Linked DNA regions of Caenorhabditis elegans. The protein of the gene in region 2 binds, or shares a complex with, the protein of the main gene of each other region. Each region holds a gene or a part of one and is shown on either strand. Other genes may lie near its edges. The genes, in order: hmg-3 and spt-16.

Region 1 (3,927 bases), 5.0 Mb from region 2:
TAATCAGCCACAAATGCAATTGACTCCACTTCAACAAGCAAAACCAGAAAAAGAAGAAATCTCACCATATGCAATTAATAATATTCTTTCTTCGACTCAAAGTTCTCCAGACAACGGAAATGAAGCCGATGATAAAGAGAACAGTTCTGTTCGTCGTAACACATTCCCAGCGTCATCTGCTTCAACAAAAAAGCCACGTGGTACTCCATATGACCGTACTAACACACCAATGACAGTAGTTCCACAAATGCCACAGTTTGCTCCAGACTTTTCAAACTATAATCTCACAATGAATGCTTGGAGTGAGTTCTTTAAAAAGGATAGATGTATGGTTTGTGGTGATAACTCTACTGGATATCATTATGGAGTACAGAGTTGTGAAGGATGCAAGGGATTTTTCAGAAGAAGTGTTCACAAGAATATCGCATATGTTTGTACCAAAGGAGAAAATTGCACAGTGAGTTTAATTAGACAAGCATTTCAAAAATATGCTATTATATTTTTCAGTTCTCATATGAAAATTGTGCGGCAAATCGTGGAGTACGTACTCGTTGTCAAGCTTGTCGATTTGCCAAATGCCTCGCAGTTGGAATGAATCGTGACAACGTTCGAGTGAACAAAGAAACTGATAAAGATGTTAAACCATCAGTGGCTTCGCCCAATTTTGAGATGACATCACAAGTGAAAGAGCTTACGGCCGCCTTTGTTGCAAACATGCCATGCTCTACTCACTTAACATCGGGAACTCATGCTATTGGAGCAATTAAGAAATTTATTGAATCAGTTCCAGCTTTGAGCTCACTTTTGCCAAAAGATGAAAAAGCACTTGAAATGAGTATTCAAAAAGTGATGAGTGGTATCTTGGCTATTCGTGCGGCTTTCACATTTGATCCAATCACTTTCTATTCCTGTGAGAATCCAGTAAATTTGCTTCGTGGCGGCATTCGTAATACAGTATTCAATGATTGTGAAGTTGCACTTCTCTCTGGAATTCATATACTTCAAATAGTCAATGGAGGTGTCGCTGAGGTAAGTAATTGTTTGGCATAATGCCAAAATTGTCGGAATATTCCCAAATGACACAATTAATCCCTACCATAACACTCAAGAAAGTAAATATTGCGCCAAGAAAGTTAACCTTTTTCAGATTTTTACGAGTTATTGTCAAGGATTACGCCATCAACTGTCTCAAACACATCTACAAGAGATAGGACTCTGCGATCGATTGCTCATGAGATTGGGACCGTATCTCAATCAATAACAAATATATTACTTCTGATAAATTCAGAACCGATTCGGTGTCTGGACACGCTTCCAACCGGTTCTGAATTCTCACAAAACTTTATTCCTGTCTTATGAATCAATATAGATTCAAAATACTTGTTTAAAGTCCCCTTCCCCCGTTACTATCATTTTCTATTCATGTTCTCAAAGTCTGATCATTTCTTACTGATCTCTTCCTCCAGGTGTGAATTTAATTCTCTATCTCACTCTCTCGTTCGGGCTATATACTGTTTCTTTTTGAATTTCCAATTGATGTTGTTTGTTAGGCTGTTACAGTACCAAAAATTATATTATTTGAAGTTTGTTAAAAACTTAATATATTTGGTACTGCTTCTTGGTTGTTGAAAAGATGAAATAAATATTATTTGATAATTTAACTATTTTGTATGCAGGAAAAAATTTGACGTGCCACAACTTTTACCGTTATTTGTCGTAATTTGTCGTAATAGTAATTTGTCAATTTATTTGTCAAAATTAGTCAATTATTAAAAAAATAATAAAATTAATAGAAACGGTCGTCAGATGCGGTGCTTGCGTATACAGTATACTTCGGTGTTCACGTATGATCGACTACCGTAGTTCTTTGTTTTCGGTTCGACGCGCGAAAAAATTAGAGTGCATTTTTCGAGAATTCATTTTTTTCATTCTTTTCCGGACTTTTCTTGTTCGCGGACGTTTTTCGCTTCTTTTCTTTACACGCGTTATTGACTGACAAGTTTCAGAATGACTGAGCTCAAATTCAAGGGAGTTTACGTGGAGGATATAGGCCATTTAACATGCGGAACGCTTACATTGACTGAAAATTCGATTAACTTCATAGGCGATAAGGGTGGAAAATCAGTTTACATCACAGGAACCGACGTCGATAAACTGAAATGGCAAAAGCTTGGCAACAAGCCGGGACTACGCGTTGGTCTTAGTGATGGAGGTGCTCACCGCTTCGGAGGATTCTTGGATGATGTTAGTTTGTTGTTCGTTTTCTTTATTTTTATACGTTTGTAGTCTCATTTTATTCAAATTCGAAATTTCAGGATCTTCAGAAAATCCAATCGTTCACTTCTTCTAACTGGTCTAAATCTATCAATCAATCAAATCTTTTCATCAATGGATGGAACTATGGGCAGGCCGATGTCAAAGGCAAAAATATTGAATTTTCATGGGAAAATGAACCGATTTTCGAAATTCCGTGCACGAATGTGTCAAACGTCATTGCCAACAAAAATGAGGCTATTTTGGAGTTCCATCAGAATGAACAAAGCAAAGTTCAGCTGATGGAGATGAGATTCCATATGCCAGTTGATCTAGAAAATGAGGAGGATACTGATAAAGTAGAAGAATTCAAGAAAGCAGTGCTGGCATATGCTGGATTGGAGGCTGAAACTGAGCAACCAATATGCCTTCTCACTGATATTCTGTGCACAACACCTCGTGGAAGATATGATATTAAAGTTTATCCGACAAGTATTGCACTCCACGGAAAGACGTACGATTACAAGATTCCTGTCAAAACGATCAATCGTCTATTCTTGGTTCCTCATAAAGATGGACGCCAAGTATATTTTGTGTTGTCGTTGAACCCACCCATTCGCCAGGGACAGACACACTACAGTTATCTCATTTTCGAGTTTGGGAAGGATGAAGAAGAAGATTTGGAGTTGTCGTTGACTGAGTGAGTTTATTTCAGAATTTTCTGGGAACAATTCCGTGCCACTCAAATATATTTTATATTGCCGTCCAATAATTTGAGAGTATTTCAGTGAACAACTCGACTATTTCAATGGAAATCTTCAACGTGAAATGACTGGACCAATCTATGAGACAATCTCAATTCTCTTCAAATCAATTTGCAATCTGAAAGTCACCGTTCCTGGACGATTCCTCGGAAGTTCGGGCACTCCTGCCATACAATGTACACATCGTCAGAACCTTGGATTGTTGTACCCAATGGAAAAGGGATTTTTGTTTATTCAAAAGCCGGTCATGTACATTCGCTTTGAAGAGATTAGCTCATGTCATTTCGCACGTTCTGATAGCGGAACTGTAACAAGAACTTTTGATTTTGAGATTGATCTGAAAACTGGATCATCGTTGACTTTCAGTGCAATGGATAAAGAAGAGAACAACAAACTATTCGACTATCTAAACAAGAAAGAGATCAAAATTCGCAATTCTCATCGTATCGATAACAAATCAGCTGGTTATGGAAGCAGCGATGAAGATGATATCGATCCATACAAGTCAACTGTGAAAGCAGAGGGTCGTGAACAAGATGATGACAGCGATGATGAAAGTACTGATGAGGATTATGATTTGGATAAGGATATGAAGAAGCAGAAGAATGACAAAGACTCATCAGAAGGTTCTGGAAGTGAACCTGACGATGAATATGATTCTGGCTCAGAGAAAGATGCTTCAGGAACTGGAGAATCTGATCCAGATGAAGAGAATATTGAACCAAAAAAGAAGGAGAGTAAAGAAAAGAAGAATAAACGCGAGAAGAAAGAGAAGCCGGTAAAGGAGAAAGCTGTGAAGAAAGGAAAGAAAACTAAAGATCCAAATGAGCCGAAACGAGCAACCACTGCATATATCATCTGGTTCAATGCCAATCGTAATTCAATGAAAGAAGATGGGGATACACTCGGA
Region 2 (3,927 bases):
ATTTTCTTCTGATCATTGTCCTTTTCAGCTTCACGGTTTTCCTGCTCCTCTTTGAATTTGATGACGTTGGACTTCAGGCGTGATTTGGCTTTTTCGGTGAGAATCTCGTTATCGCCTTCTTCTTTAACCAAAATTGTATCCGAGATTGCAATTGCGGCGGGTTTTCCTTTTTCTCCTTTATTTTTGTTTGGAATACTATCGACACCAATATAAACGATGAAGACCATTCCTGCTTTGACAACCTCGTCACACTTCGCACTGATAGCAAGACGACTCTCACGGAATTCGATTCCAGTCGCAAATCCAAGCTCTTTCTTGTTCAGAGTTTCAGCAAGTTTTGGACTTTTCTCCGTCAATGTATCGATTCCAATTTTATAAACATCGCTCAGCTTGGCTCCTGGCTTCAGAGCAGCAATTACTGCCAGCTCGGCGGCAAGAATCGCTTCATAGGCAGTCTCAAGTTCAGAAGATGGGAAGATGAGCATAGTTCGCGTCAAATTTGTGCAATATTCTGATAAACGAGCTCCGAACGAAGTGATGATCGTTCCAAACTGGCTGTGAAGATGAGATTCCGAGCTTTCATGATTCCATTTGAACGAGTAATTTCCACCGGACATTACGATTGGATCATAGCATGTGTCGGCTTCATACTTGGCCAGTGCCTGTTGTACTTTTGAATCCTTCATGAAGGCGGCAAACTCATTGGAGAGAACAGAGTGACGGACTCGCTGCAAAAATAAAAAAGAATTATTTTCTCGGGATTAAAACAGTGGTTTTCCCAGGAGTACTAAAAAATGAGCCAGTTATTGGTGATAGATAAAAGGAAAAACAGTTTAGTCATCTAAAAATAGCTTTACATTTAATTGAAACAACTGGAAGAACGCTCAAAAACTGCATGAAAGTTTAATTTTCGGGTGATTTCCAACTTTCAGATTGATTTTGAGCAGTTCTTCCGCTTTTTCAATTGAATTAAAAGCTATTTTCAGATACATCAACTGCTTCATTATATTCTATCACCAAAAACTGGCTAATTATGTAGAAATGCTTGCAGCGGACTCCTGGTTCAACTATTTTCAGAACGATAAGCACCTTTTCTTGATCAATGATCTCTACGTAGCGAGCTCTTGCAGCTGTCCATGATGCGGTTGTAGCTTGTGCTGATTTTCGAATCAAATCCATCTCCTTATCGTCTTTCACTGCGAACAGATGAGTAAACGCGAGAGTGACGTCATTCTTATTGACACCGCCTTCCTCGAGCGCCTTATTCCACGAACTGACGAATTCCGAGCTGAATTTCTCTTTGACGAAATTTCCAACATCTCCGCCGGCACTTTTGATGTGATCGATGAGCTTTTCAAAGTTTCCAGCGTCTTTGTCGGTTTTATCGCGGAGCAGTGTGCTGACTGTTGGCACTTTTCCTGAGCTCTGATTGTCTCCAGTGACTGATCCGAAGAATTCGACTTTGCGATTACTTCCGAGAATGTAAATGTGATCTTTGAGAAGCAACAGGACTGTGTCAGCGATTTCGTGGCCAAACAGCCAGGTCTGAAATAAAAATTTGTCTTGAGTTTGAACAAATTCTGAAAAATCCTTACAAATAGTGCGCTGGTCTTTGTATATGGATTATCAGTCTCTCCGTATACAAAAGCAAGTGATTTGATCGAATCTAGACCATCGGCTCCCTTCTCCTGTAAAATATTTGATTAAAAATTCGTAAAGTCCTGAAAGTCACAAACCCAGTGCTCATAAAGCCTCTCCGCTCTCTGGAAAAAGAGATCCTTGTTGAGAACTGCCCGTTTTCCAGACATTTCTCCCCTGAAAGTTAGAAATTGTGTTAAAGTCACGAGGATTGAGAGATGGAAGCAAAAATCGATAACGTAAACAAAGTGACCAGCAACGGATTCGGATAGGCTAAAAGTTTGAAATTTGCGAAAAAATTAATTTTTTTTGACACAATTTTAAAATTTTGAAAAAAACGTTTTGACGAGACAAATATTTTTTCACTGAAGAACTGTAAACTCTGAAAAATTAGAGCTGAAAGTGAGGATTGCGCGCGAAAAAGAATGGAATGAAGTTGGGCGTGGTCAAGGAACGCAACAGCCGCACGCACTTTCGCAACCACTCCGCATGCAATATTCCCGCCATGTTATTTACGGAGGGGCCATGTGAGAGTACACAATTGTGATGAATTCTTGAAGAAACATCAATTCCAGCGAGAGTTCAGAAAGTGGAGTTTCTGTAGGGTAGAAGATGTGGAATAAGTGATGAGATTATGTTGAGCGGGATGTAGGATGTCAGAAGAATCGTTGAAAAGAACAGAGTTGTAGATACAACAAGTCTTCGGAAATGCCGCGTGAACGGTAGATCAATTATTTCTTGAATTGGATTAAAGTCGGGATCGTTGAGATTTCTCATAAACCATAGTACACCAGGACGAAGGATTTCTCGAAGAAGAATCACAAATGACGCTGAATAAAATACATAAATCATTCCAACCATCCAATGAAGGAATATTGACATGAATGGAGCTGTGGCAAATGTTGCAATTCTTTGTGATAATGTTATATTGAATAATGGAAGTGTACAAACATCCATCCAACATCCACACATTACAGGGAAAAATCCAATTTCCAAGAATACCAGCAAGAAGACTATAATGATAAGGAGAGATGGCATTTGGGAACTAGTTTCAGATTCGGAATGCTAAAATATATTGAAGTTAAAGTCGACTTTTAGCAATTATTACGCCGGCAATTGCGAAAAATCCTGAAAGAAAAGTTTAATATTTTTCCTTTTCAGATAATCAAAGTTACAAATCCGGTTGTAATCCTACGATAGTGCCTACAATATTTCAGGCCTTGAAACGCAGACAACAGTAAAATTATAAGAACTTTAGAAAATTTTGAGGAGTTTAGCTCTACATCTGTCAATTTGGTATAAATTATCTGTTTTCTGAAAAATAAAGTATTTAACTATTTTAACAGCGGTCCACAAGAGAAACGGACGAAATATTTGAAGAAATTTTAAAAATTTAAAAAAAAACCGCGATAGGGTTGGTTAAAGGGACATCGGCTTACTCGGATGGGTCTCGACACGATTGTGGTTTTGCGTTGTTGTCGACGAACATTTTTGAATTCTAATTTTTTCCCTATTTTTTTGCCATAAAAGCTGTAGAATTGCTATATTTTTAAAATGTTTTCCATCGAAAAATTGTGAGATTGAGTTTGAAAATTACCGAGTTCCATTTTATTTTCATTGGATCTGTTTTTGATAGTTTTTACTTTTTTACAAATATTTTACAGGAGAAGGGAGCCGATGGTCTAGATTCGATCAAATCACTTGCTTTTGTATACGGAGAGACTGATAATCCATATACAAAGACCAGCGAACTATTTGTAAGGATTTTTCAGACTTTGTTCAAACTCAAGACAAATTTTTATTTCAGACCTGGCTTTTTGGCCACGAAATCGCTGACACAGTCCTGTTGCTTCTCAATGATCACATTTACATTCTCGGAAGTAATCGCAAAGTCGAATTCTTCGGATCAGTCACTGGAGACAATCAGAGCTCAGGAAAAGTGCCAACAGTCAGCACACTGCTCCGCGATAAAACCGATAAAGACGCTGGAAACTTTGAAAAGCTCATTGATCACATCAAAAGTGCAGGCGGAGATGTTGGAAATTTCGTCAAAGAGAAATTCAGCTCGGAATTCGTCAGTTCGTGGAATAAGGCGCTCGAGGAAGGCGGTGTCAATAAGAATGACGTTACTCTCGCGTTTACTCATCTGTTCGCAGTTAAAGACGATAAGGAGATGGATTTGATTCGAAAATCAGCACAGGCTACAACCGCATCATGGACAGCTGCGAGAGCTCGCTACGTGGAGATCAGTGATAATGAAAAGGTGCTTATCGTTCTGAAAATAGTTGA

The links.
Region 1: spt-16 (region 2) and hmg-3 share a complex: the UniProt entries of both Caenorhabditis elegans proteins name them as parts of the FACT complex.

Annotation. Positions count from the first base shown.
Region 1 is NC_003279.8:5,816,206-5,820,132, reverse strand, and holds the start of hmg-3 (FACT complex subunit ssrp1-B), read left to right. Parts: upstream 1-2,000; 5' UTR 2,001-2,007; coding exon 2,008-2,244; intron 2,245-2,315; coding exon 2,316-2,953; intron 2,954-3,041; coding exon 3,042-3,927. Other genes in the region: Nuclear hormone receptor family member nhr-2, read left to right, coding at 1-457, 508-1,029, 1,148-1,261. UniProt on the Caenorhabditis elegans protein: Component of the FACT complex, a general chromatin factor that acts to reorganize nucleosomes. The FACT complex is involved in multiple processes that require DNA as a template such as mRNA elongation, DNA replication and DNA repair.
Region 2 is NC_003279.8:10,787,018-10,790,944, reverse strand, and holds the start of spt-16 (FACT complex subunit spt-16), read right to left. Parts: upstream 1,816-3,927; 5' UTR 1,809-1,815; coding exon 1,737-1,808; intron 1,689-1,736; coding exon 1,596-1,688; intron 1,546-1,595; coding exon 1,090-1,545; intron 729-1,089; coding exon 1-728. UniProt on the Caenorhabditis elegans protein: Component of the FACT complex, a general chromatin factor that acts to reorganize nucleosomes. The FACT complex is involved in multiple processes that require DNA as a template such as mRNA elongation, DNA replication and DNA repair.